Linked DNA regions of Struthio camelus. The protein of the gene in region 1 purifies or fractionates together with the protein of each later gene. This does not show direct contact. Links are inferred from orthologs where the notes say so. Each region holds a gene or a part of one and is shown in the gene's direction. Other genes may lie near its edges. The genes, in order: ARHGAP12, ASAP1 and TJP2.

The links.
Region 2: the proteins of ARHGAP12 (region 1) and ASAP1 purify together in Homo sapiens (co-immunoprecipitation; 3 studies listed by BioGRID and IntAct, with this or other methods). This does not show direct contact. The link is inferred for Struthio camelus from reciprocal best matches to the Homo sapiens genes ARHGAP12 and ASAP1.
Region 3: the proteins of ARHGAP12 (region 1) and TJP2 purify together in Homo sapiens (co-immunoprecipitation; 3 studies listed by BioGRID and IntAct, with this or other methods). This does not show direct contact. The link is inferred for Struthio camelus from reciprocal best matches to the Homo sapiens genes ARHGAP12 and TJP2.

What each region holds. Positions count from the first base shown.
Region 1 is NC_090943.1:17,148,868-17,155,970, forward strand, and holds the start of ARHGAP12 (rho GTPase-activating protein 12), read left to right. Parts: upstream 1-4,097; 5' UTR 4,098-4,232; exon of another isoform or gene 4,233-4,236; intron 4,237-7,103. UniProt on the Homo sapiens protein: GTPase activator for the Rho-type GTPases by converting them to an inactive GDP-bound state.
Region 2 is NC_090943.1:163,101,571-163,109,074, reverse strand, and holds the start of ASAP1 (arf-GAP with SH3 domain, ANK repeat and PH domain-containing protein 1), read left to right. Parts: upstream 1-4,472; 5' UTR 4,473-5,153; intron 5,154-7,504. UniProt on the Homo sapiens protein: Possesses phosphatidylinositol 4,5-bisphosphate-dependent GTPase-activating protein activity for ARF1 (ADP ribosylation factor 1) and ARF5 and a lesser activity towards ARF6.
Region 3 is NC_090982.1:25,650,043-25,657,739, forward strand, and holds the start of TJP2 (tight junction protein ZO-2), read left to right. Parts: upstream 1-4,625; coding exon 4,626-4,738; intron 4,739-7,697. UniProt on the Homo sapiens protein: Plays a role in tight junctions and adherens junctions. Acts as a positive regulator of RANKL-induced osteoclast differentiation, potentially via mediating downstream transcriptional activity.

The sequences.
Region 1 (7,103 bases):
AATTTTGTGCTGTGACTCAGGGATGAGTCATGCAGGGTTGAGCATGAGTTTCATGCTCAACTCAAAAGTGATACATTTCAGAATATTATGCTCAAAAAGAAAAAAAGAGATACACAGTTTTACTTAACAGGTAACTAATGAGCTTCTCTTTGGCAAGAAAAGAACAGTTCCAACTCCGACCAATATAGGACCAAAACAAAGATTACTTTGTTCTTTAATAAGGCCAACAATCAGATAGTTGTACAAAACTGTTTTTCAGTCTGAAACTGAGACTGCTATATGAACAATAATTAGATCTGAGTTTCTGGAACATTTACCATTGAATGAACTCAGAAAAATATAGAAATACTGAACATCGCAGTGGCCACGTGGCAAATAAACAGTATGAAGTGAAAAAGTATGTGCCAATCATACTCCATTCTAATTCACGTGATGTAAAAAACCAATCTGCTGGAAAGGTGGAAGACTAACAAATTCCCCTCTGAATTTTCACGGTAAACCAAGCACCTTCTCTGAACTTTTGACTAACTCTTCCTCCTTAAGGCAGAGAACATTCCTTCGAATTGTAATGGTGGAACAAGTTCTTTGCTGAACTTTGGAGAAATCTAGGTTCCTTTTTTATGTTATTTGCTTTCTTTGTTCCCATTTCGCTTGATTTTCCTCACAATGTACAGTTACATAAATAAAAATGGCTCATTTCTTAGTTGAGTCAGGAGACTGGGAGTAAATTGACAAGTTCATGCAAAAAATCCACAGTATCTGCACTTTGTTAAAAAGTGCTTTTGTAGTAGTTAGAAAGAAGAGAAAGGAGGAATTGATTGTATGTATATGGGTAGGTGGTAGAACTATTTTTAGATAGAGGTTAGAAGCCTGTCAAAAAATTGAGAGTAGGAGCAGAGCAGACAGGAGATGCCCCAAGAGATGTACTTTGTATTAGGAAACTGAACCATTTTTTAAAATAAACTTTTAAGTAATATTTGAAGGTACTGTAAAATAAAAATATTTTCTCTTTGTATCAGAATTGTTTGCTTAATTAAGTGCAATTCTTTCTCTAAATTCAGAATGATTTCTCTATTGCCTATCACTACCTAGGTTATAACATAAAACGCAGAGAAAAAGTCCTTGAACAAAAGGAAAGAAAAACTAAGGAGAAAGCAAAATGAGTAAGGTGGATACTTGCAGTGTCTGTCTGCTAGATGCGAGAAAGCTTTTGGTGTTTGCGTTTCTGAAAGAAAGAATCAATACAGTTCATAATAAGATTAGTCTGTTTGGCAAGGGGGGGAAGGGAGTTAAAGAATGAATTAACAACCCAGACTTAACAATGATCACGTTTTAGGCAGCACATTTCTATTACTTACCTAACATCAGTCCTGGCATTATGAATAACAGGATGGCAATGCATCTTAGGCATGCATTTGAAATGAATCAGAGCGTCACACTCATTTAGAATTACTGCAGCCAAGCTATACACTAATGGACAGCTGAACTTGCAGAGATTTGAATTAGGGGACTCACAGGCAGGAAAAATGGCAAAAAAGTAAAATGGAATTTTGCCCTTCCAATTTAATGGACTCAGGTTTTTTATAAATGTGAACCTGATATTTCAAAATTGTGACTCTAAGGCGAATAACTATCCTTTCTATGTCTAATTCAAATGCCATAACTTCAATTTTCCAAGACAAGATTTTCACAATTGTGAAATTTGTTTCCAGTGGATTTGTGTTTCGTGAAAGATTGCAAGTATTGGGTCAACTTTTTCTCCATGATTGGTGTCACTTTCTTATGTGGCTTCTCTTGCACTCCTCTGTAGCTGCCTGTTTTCCGAAAACTTGTAGGATCTGGATTATCTTTGAGGACAAATCCCATTCGGTAAACACAGCTGAATTTGGACAATGGTTTTGAAAGATATGGGGCAACAGGACAGAGAGACTCGAATCAAACATCGACTTTTCATATGGAATCAGTCTGCAAAGATAAGAGAGTCACATTCAGCATGTGAGTTATGATACAGAAACATTCAGAACGCAATTAGATACAAGAATTAGAGACTCCTGTAGTTTCTCCCATGGCTCACTTCCACTATGTACAGCAGTTATATTTAATGATTCTTTTGATCTGAAATTCATGATCTGAAATTCTGAAATTCATTTTTTTGACTAATGTATGTATATAGTCCTGTCTGAGGTGTCAGTATGATAGCCATCCTATGCTAGCACATCTCCAGGAAAAATAAATCATGATGAATAAACGTTCTCAACTCTCTTTTTAGTCCAGTGAAATTATAGAGCTATTTTTCACAGGCAGAATGTGTAAAAGATGGTAAAGGTGGAACTAGTGCTGGACAGTTTATTTGTAATATGGTAGTATGGAATATTTCATGACTGTACTTGGGCAGAGACTCAAAATTACATATCTCCTGGCACTTTCAGCTCTATTATGCATGTCAACAGTATGCAGGACCATCAGTTCAACACTGACTCAGAGGGAAGAGTGCCTCATACTGAATCACTAATGCCATATCCTGCAGCAGTCTAGTGAAGCCTTAGGAGTAAGGAAGGATAACGACAATGTGGCTACTGTGCCTGATTTTTGAGATGCTTTTATGTATACCTCAGGCGTATCGATAGATAAATTGCAGTGAGCTCAATTAGAAATACCCAAGGCTTTTACGTACATTATTTTCTCCTGCAGAACTGGGTATGCAAGCAGAATGTTATTAGACAAAAGCATGAACTGAACACTGTCTTCAGTTACTCTGTATCTTATAAATATATATATATATATATTCACAAAAGAAAAGCATGAATGCCAAACAACACTTTATTTTTAAGGGTTTATTTTGCCTTTTAATGATATAAATGAACAACTGTACAAAAGATGATGTTTCCCTTGCATTAGAAACCCCAGCCTCTGCTCCGCTTTTCCCGACTCTGCGGATAACTGTGGAAGGAGCAGGTCTGATGGCGGCCCACCTGATCAGCCTCATGCCGTCGACAGTTTGCAGCGTTTTAACAATGACGTTCTGTGGGCAGAGAGTGAGCCCGAAGCCAAGTTACCCTGGGTGCCCAGGGGACGTTTCCGTAAGTATTTAGGCTACAATACACAGAAGTAAAGCTTTAAGGTGTTGCACTGTTCACGATTTGTCTGGTGCGCTGTCACAGGTCACCTGAGGGCCGGCACCGAGGACACAGCGACGCTGGAAGTATCGCTCCGTACGAAAACGCGTCCGCAGGTTCGGTTACACCTATTTACGCCGTTGTCTCTGCTCCCCTTTTGCTCCGAGGCCGTCTCCGTGCCTCCCTCTCCCTTGTCCGCACCCCTCAAGCCTCTTCCCGTGGCTTTTCCCTCCCCTCAGCAAGCCGCTCCTGAGGGCTTCACCGCGCCCCCTTCCTTAGTGCACGCGCTACAGCCACCAGCCACGGAAGGCGGTCGGGCCGGACCGGGCCGGACCGGACCGGACCGGGCCGGACCGAGCAGGACGGGCGGGCGGCGCGCCGCAGGCCCGCGGTGTGGGGGCGCCTGCGGACAGCGCCCCTCCGGCCCCGGTCAGCCCACGCTTCCAAGGCCGTCTTCGCACCCATGAGGAGGAAATACTGGTTTTAAAGGGAAAGATAAGATCCCTTACAAGTTGAATAAGCTACGAAGGTCACACGAGTGTTTCCAGGCTGGATGTCTGACATCTTTGACTCATGTAATTAGAGACACCAAGCAAGACGACGCCGAATAGCGGAGTACGGCTATTCTTATTTCTTTTCGGTCAGGTTATTTAAAGGGCGGAGACTTTGTTTTCCATCCGTTCCTTCTATGACATACGGAAAGGGATAGCTATTTCCCTCCGCAGCAGTAAAAGCCTGAACGGCTTTCGGGGGCGGTGTTAACGCCGGGGGCACGCAGCCTGCAGCACCCGGCACCCGCCCCGGTACCGCTACCCGCACCCGCACCCGCACCGACTGCCCGCCGCCCGCAGCGCCCGCCCCTGCCCTTGGCGCAGCCGCGCAGGCGTCCTGCCCCCCCGCCGCGCCGGTCCTAGCGCCCGCCGCCTCCCGCGCCTCCCTCCCGACACACCCCCGCCTGGCCCCGCCCCGCCCCCGGCACGTGACGCGAGAGCGGTGACGCCGCCGTGCCCTGGAGGTGACACTCCGGCGGGGCGGGCGGAGGGGCCGCGAGGGAGCCGCCGCCACCACCATCATCATCACGGCCGGAGCGGGCAGCGGGCCTGGCGCGGCGCCGAGGCAGGTGAGGGGGGCGCGGGGGGCCGCCCGCAGCGGCGGCGCCGGAGGAGGAGGGGGTCGGAGGAGCGTGGGCCGCCCCGGGGGCAGCCGGGCCGGGCTGGGTGGCCCTGAGGCGGTCGGAGGGCACGTCGGCGCCCGCGGGCACGGCGCTGCGGCCCGCCCTCGGCCGGCTCTGGCTCCGTGAGGCGCTGCCCCGGGCGGGGAGCCGGCGGCGCTCCCCGGTTCTCCCCCCTTCCCCTCCTCCCTCAGTCGCCGCCCTGCCGGGGCCCCCCGCCGCGGGCAGCGCCCCCCGCGCGGGGCAGCCGCGGTGCCGCCGCGGGGGTGGCCGCGGCGCGGCTCTGTGCCGCCGCGGGCAGCGCGGAGCGGCCGCCGGCCGGAGGGCGGCTCCGCACCTGGGCGCCGCGGGCTCGGCGGGCCTCGCGCGGCCGCGGCACCTGCCGGCGCGCGGAGCGGCGCGGAGCGGCGCGGCGCGGCGGCGAACAAAGGGCTCCGCGGCCCGGCGGCGGCGGCGGCCCCCGCGCCCCGCTGATTGCGCCTCTCGGTGCCCTTTAAGTAAGGCGGAGGCGGCGGCGCGGGGCGCGGGCACGGGCGTGCGGAGCTGTTTGGGGCTGCTCGGGCGAGTCAACAACTTAACCTGAGCGCGCAGCGCGGAGGAGCGAGTGGCGGCCGGCGATGCTCTGTAAGCTGGTTAAGGTGCCGAGAGCTGTAACGTGGCTTTAAGAGCTGCCCTGACAGTTGTTTAAAATACATCACTTATTCAGTGCTCTGAGTCAGTAGGTAATTATTAAATGGTTACTTATTATGCCTTTAATTCTTAAGGAAGTCGGAGCTCTGGGAATCTAGTGTTTGGAATAGTACTTGATCTCTGTAGTGCTTTTTTCCTGAGGAAAGGGTGCAGGATTCAGCTTGTTTTCTAGGATTTGTGAGTTGCCTGCGTTTTGTTTATATTCGTTGTTTGCGTTTGCCTTTTTGCTATATTTTTTAAATGATGTTTGCTTACAAATGGTTGCTGTAAAATCTTAAGTTGATGTCTCCTATGCAATTTCAGTGTATGGAGAATTTGGCTTTGCGATACTCTGACAAGAGAGTGGGTTTCTGCATATGTTAGATGAGTGTTACAAGTGCTACTCCCAGTTTCCGTACTTAAAAGCCTACACTTCGCAGATGTTTTTCACAGGCGCTAGTTCGGTGAGGGTTGGTTGTCACTGTTGAATCTGACTGAATTGAAAATTTGGCTGAAAAGTTAGTTATGCTAGATAAGGAATGGTGCCCCTTTGGAAGAAAGGCATAAATAGGGTCGAATTCTGACTGAAAGCCAAGATTATTGTGGGACCGGTCTCCCAAGAAATGGCCGTGCACTGTATCTCCTTGAACTACTGAGAAAACTGACTGCGGAGGACAAAATAATGAATCTAGTCAGCAGCAGCCAATGTGTTTTATCTGGCCTGAATTGATAAGAATTCATCCTAATTTAGCTTCAGTAATTGAATTTCTTTCTGTGTCAGCATCATGGAAGGGTTCGTTACTGAAATGGGTGAAGTTTGATGCTGAAAATGGAAAAAGGATTACACAATCAACTGTCAACTGCTGCTGCTTTGTAGGACATCACTAACAAGGGCACAGGCAAAATTTTAAGGAAATCTTTTGAAATCCTCAATTTTTTTTCTGTAACCTATCGTTTGTTTGTACTGTGAAGCAAACAAAAATTCCGTAGCCATGGTGATTAAGGTTTTTCTGAGAGGGAAATAAAAGAACTGGAAAAAGACTTCCTGACATATTGCAAAGTTTTAATTTGGTTCTAAAAGATTAAAAAAATATTCTGTGTATGATAACTTCAAAAAAAAGGTATGAAACATCTGTTGTGTACGTGCTGTGTTTGGTTTGTTTGTTTTGTGTTTTGGTCTGAGTTCTAGCTGAATGCTGAAGTTAGGCATGACTAAAATATTTATATAGGTGTATACGTGTTAGGGCCATGGTTCAAGACCGTTCGGATGGACTTTAAGAGCAATTTAGTGAGTATTTTCCTGCAGTTAAAATTAAATTGATTTTACTACTTTAAATAGGTAAATATGTTGCTATAGGGTTACGTGGACTAGAAAAGGCCTACTTCTAAACAAGCATAAAGATATCTTAAACCAAACCAGTCTAATAACGTTTGGAGATGTCATTGCAGTAATTTAGACTTGATTAGAAAAGATCCTAGCTTATTTAGAAATATGTAGAATCTTGCTAGTGTCAAGCGCTACCATGCAAAATCTAACTTTACCTTTACTCCCCCTTTGAGAAAAGCATATAATTCCCCCAGCAAGAGCAGGGAGGGTATGCTCCCAGGAAGGTGTGGGGTTGTGTTGCACTGCTCTCAGGGTGCAGGCCCCGCTGTGATGAACTGGGCAGCCGGAGGGCAAGGGAGCAGCAGCACCCTCCAGGTAGGGCTGGAGAAGGGAAGGGAGGAGCCGACCTCTGTAAATACCAAGCATTGCCAGTTTTACTCAGTCTTAGCTGAGTAAGAGTTGGGAACGGTTCCCATCGGAAATTGGAGCCTGAAGAAATCTATGCCTGGATACCTAGTGAAAGATCTTTCAGCGGTCTGTTTCTTCAGTGTAGGGAGTACAGTTCGGTGCTGGCTTTGCAGTTGTTTCTTAGATGATGAGCAGCCAATGCTGTGTATATAGTCACAAGTGAGCTTTCTCTCTGAGACAGCATGAATGCTTTGTAAAATGGTGGAATGTATTTCTGTGTAGGGGTGTAGTCCACCTTAAATTAGTTACCTGTGGCATTGAGGCTTTACTTTATCAAAAGAAAAGTGTGGCTTGAGTCTAATTTTTGGTGTTCATGGTAAGTTTTCTTATGTCTTTGTTAGTGGGTCTGTTC
Region 2 (7,504 bases), about 150 Mb from region 1:
AGAACTCGAGCAATTGGAAGAGCTGGTGAGCAAGAGGGAATTTCTCTCTGCAGTTTTGTGAAGTGTGGCCAGATAGCCAGGGGTGGACATGTGACATGCACATGGAGCGAAAACAATCCATCACTTCTTGCCTCAGCCATAATTTTCATCAGGCAAAATAACTTTCACCAAATAAAATAACTGTTGATGCTGTTCTGTGTAACCAGGACCCGGAAAAGGTAGCACTCAGAAGCCACATCTGACACCAGGTGGTGCCTGAGATAAGCAAAATGCTGGTAGAAGACTTTCCCTCATCTGCCTTAGGAATCTTACAACCCTACTGCAGTTCTTCCTGGCAACAGCAAAATTCAAAATAAACCAGGCTGAACATGAGGAAAAGTTCTCCAAGACTGAGCAATGTGTGTTATAGTTACATTCAACATCTGCCAGCTTCCTCACCTGGCTACCGCAGCGCGTTTTGCTGTGAGAGCGTCAGAAGCGTGGGTTACCTCTACCCAGGACTGCTCTGCCGGGGAAGTGGTTCTGACCTGATAGCTATACTAGCAAAAGTATATTTTATGTTGGTATTACAAAACCACTCCCTTAAGGAAAACAGCCTTTACCCTTACAGACCAAGCAACAGATAACCCAGATAATGGTATGTATAACAGGGGCCAGCAGAGCAATGGTGATCAAGGCCAGACCATCCACACTCTGCCCTGACGTGACAACGCAAGCAGAAGGGCATAACGGAGATAGAGTTTAACCTGGATATGCTTGGCCAGAGCAACACTCCAGTGAAATCACCTTTAATGTGCCATGAAAGAAAAACCAGATGAAAGCTGTGCTTTCTGAAGTCCTGCTGAGAGATGGATATGAGTATCTATTCTCCCTGCAAGTAGAGGTTCAGCCTGTCTCTTCCTCTCCCCTCTTTGTGGGTCACTACTTGATTTCATTGCTTGAAACAAAGTCTAGGACAATACCTGGGCCAACATGTTCCATAAAGATGGGGCCTGCTACCTTAAATGCTCTGTTCAGCAGCCTGGGACATTATCAGACAACTTGGAGGCCTGGACTTCAGAATCTAAACGTTACATTTTTAAAGAAACTAAGTACCTAGCCCAGGTGGTTGAGTAAAATCATTTCACATGTGAACTTCTCTCATTGGACTGTGTCCTATATTCAGAAGGGATATTTTCTCCTCCTCTAATCTCACTGCAATCAAATCTTAAGTTGCATTTGGCCCCTTATGTATGAAATCTAACATAAATATCAGTTCTGTTAATTCTTTCTGTGTGATCCAACATCTTACAAACCTCTTAAAAATATTATTTTTATGGGCACATTTCACATCACCCAATTGCTTCTCATACTTCAAATCCCAGTCATCTGTGCAGCTCCCCCATATCTGAATTTCCCCTCCGTCTGTGATGCTGCCATGAGCCTGCAGTACAAAATACTTCACTCAACAGAAGTGAAAAACAAAATATTTAGGGCAGCTTAGAATAAATCAAACTGAAGTAAGACTTCCTTTGTCAGTCACAAGCTTTTTTAAATTTAATTCTACGAGGGGAAAAAAACACAACTCTCAGTGTTTAAGATTTTGCTCAGTCTGTGATCTGCCGCTTAGGCAAGATAGATAATGCAGGTGTTTTGATGGCAAATTTAGGTCAAGTTTCTCTGTGACATGGGCAAGGCCTTGTATGTTATGTAGCATTATAAATGTCTGTGATACTTCCAGGCGCTGTGCTAAGGAGAAGATCCAAATGCACAGCTATTTTTGCTGAAGTACCACACCAGGCCCTGCTACTGGCTGGAGGAGAGCGTCTATAGACCTTCAATTTGCCTCTCTCCCCTCCCCACCCCAGGAAAGTCAGCTGCTGTGAACAGTGGCGAGGTGCCCTCTGGAAAAAGCTAATTTGCATCTAGCAGAGAGCAATAGAAAATGAAGGAGGCTTTCAGTAGTTCTGTGTTTTGGTTTCGTATGTCACCTGTTTAATCCAAAATGTAAGTGCAGCTAGTAAAGTACCACAGAGCTGCAGCGAGATGAAAACCAGCTTTTTCAAAATGAGTCCAGATATGTCAGACAGGGCATAAACCAGACAGTGCTGCTTCCTCTGTTGAAGGCATCTGCCTTTCACCTGATGCAGAGGCATGAGGCCTTCCAGGGTGCAAGCTCGTCCTGCACAGCCACAGAGCAGCAGTGAGAAGAGAGCTCTGCCCTCTTCTGCCAAACAAGAAACTGCTCCATTTCATCTCGAATGGGTAGCTGGGTGAGGATGAGAGCAGGAGACCTCCGTGGGGTCCTGGTGTTGTTTCCGTCAGGCTGCACAACCTGGCTGTGGCCCACAAGAAAACTAGGGTGCAGCGCATTAAGCCCTGAGGTTATGGAGCACTGCTCACCTGGACCAAGGGATCTGCTGATTTCCTCCCTTTGCACATATCTGTTTCCTTTCAGACCAGAGCAGGCAGAGGAATAGCTCACCACGAGCTTTCACCCTGACGTGGAGAGCAGAAGGACTGCAGGAGAAACCACAGCCACTGCTGCTGTGCAATACCAATGCAACCATGTGCATCTACTTTTCTCAGCTGTACACCACAGTCAACCACAGCCAGCCCAGCCATCAAAGCAAACTGTGCAGAAGGGACATGTCACATAGCGGCACTGATGTCAAGCGTGCAGGCAATGCAAATTCCCCAGGGAACACAAGCTAGAGGATCCTGGGTGTTGGACCATGAAGATTAAAAGAGGAGGGAGCAAACACTTGGCTGTCAGCGGCCAGGAGACTCTTTGTGTTAGGTCACAGTCTCTACCCAAATGGTCTGCTGTTTCCAACACGTTTCAGGTGACGATTCAAGGATCTGCTATTGCTTCAACAGCCTCTCCATTCATGACTCTCTGACCCACCTCTGCTGGTGATAAAACATTTCCAGTCAAAAGCTTCTTCTTGACTCCAAACCCCCTGACAGGAAAACAGAATGAGCCTGTGAGCACGATCATTCGCCAAGCATGTGGCACATGACTCACCCTCTTTACAGAGCTCTTCCCCAGAATAAGAAGAAAAAAAAAGGAAGCGCAGCTAGAAAAAAAAACCTCAGAAGCACAGCAAGAGAGCTAGCAAGCACAGAAGATGTAAAAAAGACTGTGTCTGCTATGGACATCTCTACAAATCTTCATTACACTGTTGTCACATAAGGTTAGTGGGAAGATGCCTTAGAAATACATACAACAACACGGTGTGATGTGAGCTAGTGTTTGCAAGAGGGTAGTGAATCTCTCAACATACAGGAAATTGCTTTTAATATGATAGCTGTCAGGTCACATTCTCACTGCAGACATTTTACGCACCTGCAAAAAGCATCCAGGAGAGAGGGTAAACGCGCTTCTGAGCTTCATATCAGCACAACTTACATCCTGCCCCTAGCCCAGACAGCAAAGTTAAAGTTAATCTGAATACCTCCGCAGAGCCCTGTCTTAGTGCCTACACACCGAACGTGAGCAGCAGTCACCAAGAGCCACATCTTGCCAGTAGTATCGACAGCAGATAAAAATTTGGCGCCAGATTAGTCCGGCATTTACTTGGAAATGAAGGGTGGGATTCTTGCAAAGAGACGAAGGTACCTAAAACATAGACAAGCATATCTGAGCTCATCATCGAGACTCCTCTGATGATGAAATGAGAGAAACTTGCACTTGGAGGCAGAAATTCACCCCGTCCTAAAGCAGACAGCCGATCTAGGCATGCTAGGAGGGCTCATGCCTTCTGATTGACTGTGCAGGGAGGCTATGCCACAAGCTCAGATGCAGATGTCTAACATGAGATGGGGCGATTCCCATTCCTATATGCTGGCCATATGCTGAACTACAGCTGGCCCATGAGACCGCTGACCCATGGCTCTGATGAGGCTCCAGGCTTGATGGTTCCCTGAATGAACCCCGTCATCATATTTTCATGTAAATCAAAGTCACCAATGAATTGAAGGGGAACTGAAATACGTTGCCCGATCGATTTGATTTGGTCTGATTTCATAATTTCTAAATTTTCTGGCACTTTAAGCTTTTGGCTTCTTTGTTTTATTTCTCGAAGCGTTGGGGATTCCTGCTCCTCGCTGGGGCCGGCATGGGAAACCTGTTCAAAATCCAACCTGAAAACAAACTGGATGAAAGAAGCATCAGTTGAAAGGCATAGAGGGGAAGGAAAAGCCTGTTCAGAAAAACAGCAAAATGAAATCCCCTCGGCAGCCCCGACCTTTTCACACTTATGTTTGTAAAGATAAGCTCTCTCATCAATTCTGGAGCGCTGAGCATGTGACAAAGGGCTCTTTTTATCCCACATCCAAGCTACAAATAAATGTCAGCTGCCCGGTATGGGAGGGCACAGCCCAAGGAAGGAAGTGTCCTCTGCCTCCTCCCTCTTTGAGGAGCCCTCAGCGAGCAGCCTTGCACCGACTGCTCTGTGACTGCGATCCTTTGGGAACCCCGGAGAGGGTGGACAGAAGACCTCTGTTAGCATTAGAAAAACAGAATGTGTTGCATTTATTCCAGTGAGGGAAAACTACTCGCTAGACACCTTCCCCTCGCCCCAAAAGAGCCCGACGGCTTTTCCTCTAACGCCGCTGCTGCGCGGCGCGTGCTGAAATCCCAGAGCCTCCTCCCACAGCAGCTAAGCAGACAAACCACAGGCCAGCCACTTTCTCCGTGTCTCCGTTTTCCTCTTAGCCGAGGGGATAATAAAATTACCCGGCACTCTGGAATGCTGTAGCTTTAATTCATTAGTATCTCTAAGGAGCTTAGAGGTCCTCAGCCATAAGGGGCTCTGGAAATGCCAGCGGAAATGGTGAGCCTCTTGTCGCTGGGCTTCCACTTCCAACATTTCCCTGCTGAATCCAGTGATTCCAGCGTTTTGGGTTCCGAATTCTCTGACTCGGCAAATTCGAATCAGCTTTTCAGAACGGTCTGAGGAGTAGAAATGTGCTCTTTGTCAGGGAGAGGAAACGGGGAGCAGTATTAGTCGCTCTGTATGCCGCATGAGTCAGCCACAGTTTATGCACCTGCTGTGACTTACAAATCTGAATGCACTCGGAGATGCCGGTTTTGCAAACAGATGGATTTTGTAAATCCTGTTAACGTTTCTGTGTGTAAGAGCTTCCCCGCAGAAAAGGAGCGTGTCCACGTGAGTATCGGATCCACTTACCCTTATAGATTTTAAAATAGTGGCTTCATTTTACCCAGGCTGGAGATATAAACGGATTCATCTTAGAGCGGGGAACCCGCGCTGTGTTTGTGGGAACGGTGACTTTCGGGAAATTAAAATTAAAATTAGCTGCTCTAAGCTACAGGAAAGGGAGAGAAGGAGAGGTATGTCTCTCTAATTGCACATCAGCTCTAATGGGTTCAGTTCAACCATACTCCAGCAAAATAACCAGTTTGGAGCTGACACGGGGTCTGTGTGTGTGTAACCTGCTTGCTGTAGTCTCTCTCAATCACAGGATTTTATTCCAAAAAAGTTACTGGAATGTGTTGTTCCCACAACATTTAAGCAGCTTAGGCGGAGAAAATTGCATAATGCGTTTGCTTTGTAAAGCTTCATTATTTTACATGTATTGAAATCCTTTTGCTTTGTGCGCATACAGTCCCTTTTGAATGGGACAGGGCCAGAGAAGTAAACAAGGAAGCCGAGCCGGAAAAGAAGGGGAAAAGGGGCCTAGGAACTGCTATTGTGGATACAAGAGAAATGCGGAGGGGCAGCAGAAGCATGCAAAATTGCTGAAATTCTTCCATGGCTTTGCACAGCACGAGTGCTATAGGGGCAGGGCATTAATATGCCACACACTTGGCTGTGGGAGCCATCACGTGTCATGTGCGCTGACTGCCCTGAATCAACACAAAATACACAACAAGGCAAAAACGGAGAGCGGCGAAGGCTAGCAGTCTTCAGCAGTCGCAGCACGAAGCGCTCCGTCACCCGCCTTGCTCTCTAAGCGACCTCTCTCACGGCCCGGTGCTAAACACCTAACTGCACTCGGTCAGTTTTCTTTTGGGAACACAAGGTGGGAATGGGGAAAGGACTTGCCCTTTTGTTCTCCCTCAACGGGGACGGTCACACCTGTAGGCAGAGGGAGGGAAACGCCGGCCGCCGAGGCACAGAGGTTGCAGTCTGGCCGCCACCCGGCTGCCTGCTTGCACAGGAGATTAGCGTTAGTTGCTTGAGACGCTGGTGTCGAACAGGCAGAACCCACCTCCCGCGTTCGCCTCTGTTAGAGAGGTAAAATGTCCTTGTACTTCCCAGCATTGCTATGATGGTCTGTTATTTCATGCTAGAAACCTGCTGTATACTGTAAAATCCTGACTGTCGTTATTGGAATTTATTATGTGGGCAATTAACACAGGCAATCCCATTATTGCTGTAATGAGATTCATCTGAGTAAATCTCACATGTGTTATTCTCCTAGAAAAACAAGTGACCAAACAACTCTTTGGCTTGGCCCAAGTTTCCAAAGATAAATGTATTCACTCATTTATTACTAACTACACAGCTTGTGGCCTTGTGGTATGAGTAAACAAGCTGAACAAATGTCTAGTTTGGGAAAGAATAAAATGTTAAAGCAAATAATTGATTTGGTGATCTCTTTGCAGCCAGTCAGACAGATGTTTCGTTGCCAGGCCTGCCTATATAAAATAGTAATTGTGCAATTAGTGCTTAATGACTGGAGTTCATTTCTTTTTCTTCTCAGTCGTTAAAGCCATATTGATTTGCTTAGAACATATTAATAATTTCTGAATATATAGGCAAGCAAATCAGAAACCACAGCATCCAACTCTGGCTCTATTTGTTTCCCTATGTTGACATGCGCTAGACGTTGCCAGATAAAGACACTTCCAGCAGAACAGGGCAGAGGAAAAAGAACAAGGACAAGGGGTAGCATCTGAGTTGCTACCCACTGGCTTCAGAAATAACAAATTGCAAGGTTACATCAGCCAAGGGGAAGATGGCCTGGGCCTCGCAGCTCAGAGAAGAGGCAACGCTACTTTTAAAGCTAGGGGACTGCGTCACACATAGCTGCTGCGTGCCCAGAGCAGCCGCCCTGCTTGTGGTGTGTGACCTTCAGCTCGCACCCCCAAGCACAAGTGTTAACTCCCTGAGACTTCAGCAGCAAATCCCCACTTGCGCAAGGCCCAAAACACTTCTCCAATTCGTTCTTGGCTGCTAGAGATTTGCTCTGAGAAGTGGTTTCCTGATTCACCCCCTACTGTGTGCTGCAACACTTCAGAGGGTGCTACCGGAGAGCGAGGCTACGCTTCGTGCAGCGGGCTCACCGGCTCCCTGTACAGTGCCTGCGTAACTAGGCCCTCCGACACAGCACAGCTGCATCTGTACTGTTGCTTTTGACCTCTTCCTTAGGATTTCCCGGTGCCGGGAGACTTGACCCTTCACCACCACTCCTGCTGCCACAAGTGGTGCTAGAAGTCATGCTAGCAGTACCACGGCTGAGATTTTCAAACATGTACAAGAGGGTTAGGTGC
Region 3 (7,697 bases), on another chromosome or scaffold:
TCTTTCCATGTTACCCTTCTCCCACAAAAAAATTGATCCTTGATGCTCCTTTGCCTCAAAATTATTTTGACAGATCAAGCTTAACATGTGCGTTTCTTAGCTATATGGCGCAAACAAGAAAACACATATGCCCTCTAAGTAACGCTGGAAGTTAACTTTATCTGTCATGGTTATTCTTGTCATCCAAGAGTAAGAATGCAGGAAAATCCTTTTGTTTCTTTTTTCTCCTCACGATAGAATTCTTTAACCTGTAGGTGTTACAGACTTTTTTTGTTGAGAGAGAAGAAAGAAGAGAATTTTGTTTCCTAAGATGGAAAGTAATTTGTGGCTATGCTTGGCAATGGCTGTTTCCTTTGCAGTTGGATCTGAAGTGACTGAAGATGGAATCATGCATCTGTCATCAGCTTTTACATGAAATATGCTCTAAATCTAATAACTCTTTCTTTTCATGTATTGAGCAAAAGAAAACTTTCACTTTGATCTCATAAATGTTTCTTTCATGCAGAAAAGAACATTTGTCATTCTTTCCCCTTTCCCTGAATTACTTCTCACTTGCCAAACCATCTACTGCAACAGTCTAGAATTTGTATAGAATGAATGAGAATAATATAATTTCTGAACTGCTTTTGCAAATATCACTTATAGAATTTTATTTGCATTGAAATCATTGTCACAAGACTGATTTTTTTTTCTCTCTCTTTCAGCTAAGAAAGCACAGAATAGAGTAAGAGACTTTGAAACAGACGTAAAAAAAGCTTTCAGTTCTCACAGGGTTCTCTTTCCCTACAGCCAGCGTACCTTCCAAGTCTTTTGATATATTGCCACAATGCATTATATCAATTTGATAGAAATACATGTTACCTCATTTTCTTTATTTTGAAAACTGAGAAGTAATCAACATGGCAGACTTGTAAGGAGAAGCTGAGCAGAGAACACAAGTATGGTGAAAAAGCAAAGATTTCTTTTTGCTAAAATTCAGGCTGTCCATTGCTGTTCTCTTCATGAGCATGGTTGAGGACCACAAGTTCCCGAAGCTGACACAAGTGTTTTTCTTTAACAGATTAATTATTAGATTATGTTTGTTCACTTGTATGTTCCCAGTTGATCTGTGCTCTTTCCATTAAAACTTGGTGTTCTTTCTGCCTGAAAAACACAAAGTTAGAAGGGGAGTGGATGATATTCCTCAACAGGAAACAATGAACGTAGATGTATTTTAGACCCTTTGTTACTGAGGGATAGTTTTTTCAGGGCAAACAATGGATGTACTAATAGCTTTGAGTTTCTGTTTTCAAACAAAGTTGAAGGAAATTGATAACTTGTGAGTCAGTCTTACTCCCTCTGCATATCTAAGATTCATGAACAAGCTAGCTAAGAGGAGTGCTTGGGAGTGACTTATGCTTACTGTATGAGTTTGTTTGTGAGCTCTCTGTGTACAAGGCTGGTCACGGGGCTCCTATTCTAGTCAGAGTTATTTGGCTTTACTCAAGCAAATAACAGATTAATTAGAGCTACACTAAACAATTTTTTCACTTTTTTCAGAATCATAGTTCTAAGCATGCTATTGGGAAGTGTTTGTAAGGAAGAATCTGTTCCTCATATCTCTAAGGGAAAAATGTAAGGTTAAAAAAGGTGAAGGGGTGGTGATGGTGGAAAGAAGTGCCAAAACGTATGAGAAATTGTGATAACATTGAAAACAAAACTAACTTAAAAGGCAGATTGGATTTCATCAAAATGTTTCTCTGATTAAGCAGGACTGACTATTATCATGAATTACTACATTCAGAAGGTGTTTAAAAACTGAAATAGTCAACAAACTGCTAGTCAATACTGCCTGCACAATAGGGCTGCTAACGCTCTCAAAAGTCAGGATGCATGCAGGCCTGATGACATTAGCTGTGCTTACAGACTGCTACTAGTATTTCACTTTCCCAAGGTTCTTACTACTTTGTATGCAGATGTTTGAAATTGTAGTATTGTAGCTTTTTTTTTTTCCTTGGTCTTGCGAAAGTAATACTTAGCTTCACTTTATTTCTATGTTTTTAATACATTAGCTGCTTTCCTGAAGGGTTTTGACACTGTCTCCCATCACATGCTCGTAGGTAAACTCAGGAAGTGTGGGCTGGATGAGTGGACGGTGAGGTGGGTTGAGAACTGGCTGGACGGCAGAGCTCGGAGGGCTGTGGTCAGCGGTGGAGAGTCCAGTGGGAGGCCTGTAGCTCGCGGTGTCCCCCAGGGGTCAGTGCTGGGCCCAGTCTTGTTCAATGCATTCATCGGTGACCTGGAGGAAGGCACAGAGTGCACCCTCAGCAAGTTGGCTGATGACACTAAACTGGGAGGAGTGGCTGACACACCAGGGGGCTGTGCTGCCATTCCGAGGGACGTGGACAGGCTGGAGAGCTGGGAGGAGAGGAGCCTCATGGAGTTCAGCATAGGCAAGGGCAGGGTCCTGCACCTTGGCAGCAATAACCCCATGCCCCAGGACAGGCTGGGGGTTGACCTGCTGGAGAGCAGCTCTGCAGAGAAGGACCTGGGAGTGCTGGTGGACAGCAAGCTGGGCATGAGGCAGCAATGTGCCCGTGTGGTCAAGAAGGCCAATGGGATCCTGGGGTGCGTTAGGGAGAGCATTGCCAGCAGGTGGAGGGAGGTGATCCTGCCCCTCTCCTCAGCCCTGGTGAGGCCTCACCTGGAGTGCTGTGTCCAATTCTGGGCTGCCCAGTACAAGAGAGACATGGCACTCCTGGAGAGAGTCCAGCGGAGGGCCACTAAGATGATGAGGGGACTGGAGCATCATCTCTCCTGTGAGGAAAGGCAGAGAGAGCTGGGGCTGTTCAGCCTGGAGAAGAGAAGACTGAGAGGCGATCTCATCAACGTGTACAAGTATCTGAAGGGAGGGTGAAAGCCATACTCTTTTCAGTGGTGCCCAGCAACAGGACAAGAGGCAATGGGCACAAACTGAACCACAGGCAGTTCCGTCTGAACATGAGGCAAAACTTCTTTGCTGTGAGGGTGACGGAGCACTGGCACAGGTTGCCCAGAGAGGTGGTGGAGTCTCCTTCGCTGGAGATATTCAAAACCAGCCTGGATATCTTGTGCACTGTGCTCTAGAGGACCCTGCTTGAGCAGGGGGGTTGGACTAGGTGATCTCCAGAGGTCCCTTGCAACCTTGGCCATTCTGTGACTCTGTGATTTCCTAATACATCTCAAATTTCCAGATTACGTATTCCTTACATATCTATGTACAACTAGATAGGTATAAACTGCAGATTTCCTTTTGTCAGTTATTTGTCGTTTTATTTCTTGAATCTGTAAACTGCTTAATTTTATATTGCTATTTTAAAGTCAGTTGAGCAGATTTAATAATTCACTTGAGATGGTTCAGTGTGTGCATATTTTGTGTAAGTGAACTTAAGTTACAATGTAACTTAATATATTGAGTGCCAGGTAGGGCGTAAGTAATACAGAAGAGTGAATAATACAGGGACTGGAAATAACTGTACAAGAATTCATTGTGTAGGGCTGAATATTTTACAGTATAAGTTTAGAAGTTGTAGTTTCCATCTTAAAGGTTTCAAAATATGTAACATTCTATACAAAGTCACCTCAGCAGAAATATAGGCATTTTACTACTAGAGAATAGTTAAAATACGCAGTTTGCAGAGGGGTTTTTGGCCAGGTCTTTAGGATAAATGCTTCCCGTCCCGTCTGTTCTTTTTGCATGTTTATATAAAATAACCTATACAACAATAGAAATAGTATATATAAAATTATATATAAACTTTCATAGTTAGTATCTTACTATCTATGTAGCATTACAACATTTCCTTTGTTAATCTTTTTTGCAGTCAAGCAAGTCTCTCTTAATACTGTAGTTTGGCAGTGCTGCAGCATATCTAAAATGCCACTATTACTTCAACTTGTACATCTGTCTCCACGCTTGTAGTTAGTACCTGAGGTCATTGGCATGCACAATTACTTACGTCATGGCTGGAACAGTTTTGACACGGAAAGTGGCTTCTGGCGTTGTGTGAGGCACATTTGTATGACTAGTAGGTATCATAATGAAGTCTTTATCTTGCTTAATTCTGTGTAAGTGAAGTAAGGGAATGTTTCTCCATGCCTCTCCTGCTCAGATCACAGATAAATCCTGGTGCTACGGAGAAAAGTTGAAGCAAAAGCCATTATTACCTTTCAGAGTATGTAAAAAAAAATTCTCAACTTTTCTGTGCAGATCTCATTCCCTCAGTTGATCTGAGAGAGAAGTTACCTAGCGCTCCATTAGTACTTGAAAGATTATAAACATCAGAGATTTAGCCAAGGATTAGTAAATTGGAGAGTGTGCATTATCCGGCCAGGCTTAGAACCGTGATTGTCTCTTCAATCATTTTCATTAGTGTCTTACTCAAAGATCAAATTATGTAACAATGACGTTTCAGGGGAATCTGGCAGGAGTTTTTCTTTGGTTTCTCTCCCAGACTAACTCTCCATGCCTAGTAGAGGGGGGGAAGGCATTATTTTTATGCTTGAAACCTGCAGTATGTTTTGAAAAGCAACCGTTCAGACAAGTGCAGAAGCATGACTGCGTTTGGATGACAACTTAGCGTGGTGGAACTCTTGAGAGAGGCAGGATGCGGTACAAGAAATATATAACTATCTTAGAAGCAGCAATAGGCATAACTCCCCTTAACAAAAGGGAACTGCTTCCTGAAGGTAGACATGCAAACCTTTGGCAACATCCCAGGTAAGTGTTACAAACGAGATAAATGAGTAACTGTGGGAAAACCTGTGTTAACCTTGAAGAATACAATTTGAACGCTTCTATGAGAAAAGGAAAGAGTCATTCATAAAAACAAGTAATCTTTTGTCTGCCTTCCAAGCAGTGTATCTTCTGCAGTTGCAGTTAAACTCTGTGGTTTCATTAGAGATTTCTGTGCATTTACTGTCCTTGGCTACCAGGACAATTAGAAAGAGGCATAATTTCTAAATTAAAAGTTTGCTCAAAGAGTAGAAAGGATAAACAGGAGCATACTTATTGCAATGAAAACGAGATAGTCATTTTGTATTAATGCTTACTCCTGCTGCATGTGTATGTGTGGGTTCCCCCCCTCCTTGTTAGAATGTGCATATTTTAATTATTATCTATGGGAGAACTAGCAGCTTCTAAAAGCAGAAAAAAAAACCCACTTTTTTGCTTGTATCCCACTTTCTTTTTCTAATAGAAAGCAAAATTTCCTCATATTTAGGAGTACTGTTTTCATAAAGGAAATATGCAGCAATTAATAGAGAAAACAATTAGGATTTTTAAGCGTTCAGACTATGAAATTGGGAGCATTCTGTTCTGGTTAAAAACAATTCAGAGTGCTTTCTTGTACCCCCTAACTTGAATGTTGGACTTCAGAAAATTCGTTCGTTCGTAACTCAGTTTCCCTCTAAAAGTGATCGTCTTAAAAACTCCTGTGCTCATAGAGTGTGTATGTGAGAAGAGGGATTGTCCTTCTTTCCCATCTGCTCATTCTATGTAAGTAGCGTCAGTGGGTGCATATCCTCATAGCCTTTCTAGTCTCTCCTGTTCTTGTTTTGCATTAGAATGTTGTACTGTTGTTTAAGACATGGCAGAGGAACATAAAATCTGAGAAACTTGTTGAAGACTAATGGTTAGATAAGTTTGTACTGGTTGTGATTAGTTTTGTGTGAGAAAATTTTCAAAGAAAATCTTGGAGTAAAAATGCTATCACCTGAACTCTAATTTTGCTCATGATTTTTCTGCAAGAACCCCTCTGCTAATAGTGGTATCAACAGTAATACCAATTCAAATAAAGCACCCATATGATTTTTAGTTGCTTCACCTAAATGACAAAATACTGGATGCTAAGATTTTCCACCCTCTTCATTGACACAAAAATTCTTCAAGTTGATCCTAGTGTGCTGGTATTGCACTGAGGAGTGCTTTTTGGCTTTTTTGTTAAAATGTGCTCATTTGAAGGCATCCTTAGTACAATGCATTGTAGACACTTCTTTCCCATGTTCTCTTGACTCTGACTTCCTCTGATTGTTTAATGTGAGTTATCTGCATGCCAATCTCTCTGAATCTTGCAGCCGTTCTTTACATGTTGATAAAAAGTTACATGATGGCTCTTGATCCTTGGAGGAACGGTGTTAGAATGTAATGACACATTCTTACAAAATTTCTCTTTGTGCTTCAAGTAGATTTGTTTGGCTAGAGGAGCAACTTGAAACAAACCATTTAAAAATGAAACTTATTAACTTTAGCATCCCTTCTTTTTTGCTTTACTACTTAAATGTCTGAATGATAAGCTTTCATCTACGAGTGAGTGTTAGTCAATACCCAAATGCAAAACATACTGCCTTGTTAATACTTGTTTTTCTTTCCAGTGTTATTAATCAGGCGTCTCCCTTCTTTCATAGAGGGGTTTCGAGTGATGTAATTGTTGTACACACTTGGAATTTTAACTTCTTAAAATGTATTTGAATTACAGAATTGCCATTCTGACAATTCAACAGAAGTAGAAAAGCTTTTGTCATTGGACTTCATTAGGGACCCCTTATATCCTTTTATTAGATCTTTCCGAGCACTAAGGGTTGGGAGCTAACAATTGCCATGAAGTGAACCATGGTTTGAAGAAAAGAGCGCTGTTCTGTTTGCAGCTGCGGACTGTGATCTGTGCAATTGGAATAAGCAAATTTATAACTCACTTGGCTAATATCTGCTTGTCACTCAGCCTCTGGTGGTACTCTATCAGGTTCATATAAAAAAGAATCCAATCAAATTGAATAACATTTTTAAACTAGCTATTTTTTCCCCCAATTTCCATCATGGCGCATTTTCTAAAAGCTAGTACAGAATGTAAAGTGTATCTGGCTCCTCCTCACTGCACAAATTCAAATGCATGCTTAAGTTAAATTCTTCCTATGCTTCTCTCAACCATCTCATAGAATGAAAGAAAATCAGCATTAAAGTGGGATGTCAACTCCCGTGCCATCACTTGAGAGGTGTGAAAATACTGACAGTAACCCAGACTAAGGTGTGAGAGAGGGCAAGGAAGAAAAGCGTGTTATTTTGCTAAGGTGTTCATTTTCGTTTCCGTAGGAAAGTCATTATAAAGCATATTTTTCCATTTCACTTGGAATAATTACGCGATTTCTGTGGCAGATGGATTCTTTGAAACTGTTCGCATCTTCACAGGGAATCAAAATGATGACAGCAATGGTATTTTGGTTTTAGCTTTCTTGTATAACTTTCCTGCTGTTTTCTGGAAAAGACACTATTACTCTGCACACAACCTGGAACAATGAAGTCGATGTTTGCTCATAATGCATAGCTTTTGCTGCTCTTTGAAGACGGTGGAAATTCATGCTTAAGTTTCTGTCTGTTTGAACTAGTAGAGCCTTACTTTTGGAAAGATGCATTTGTGGAGGAAGGAGTCAGCAGAGAATGAAAATGAACATCTTTTGTCTTCTCAAAGTGATTGGCAGGAGCTGCCTGCATTTGTGAGGCTTAAGAAGTTCATCCGAGACCAAATGATTTTTTGTAATGCCTTAGACCTTTTAAACTTCCTTTTCTCAATCTCGGACTTCATTATGGACGTACTCAGGGAAAAGTGGGTGCCACACGTGAGGCACGTCTATAAAATGGAGTGTAGACTTGTAGATTGAACAAGTAATTGTACAAGTTCTGTAAT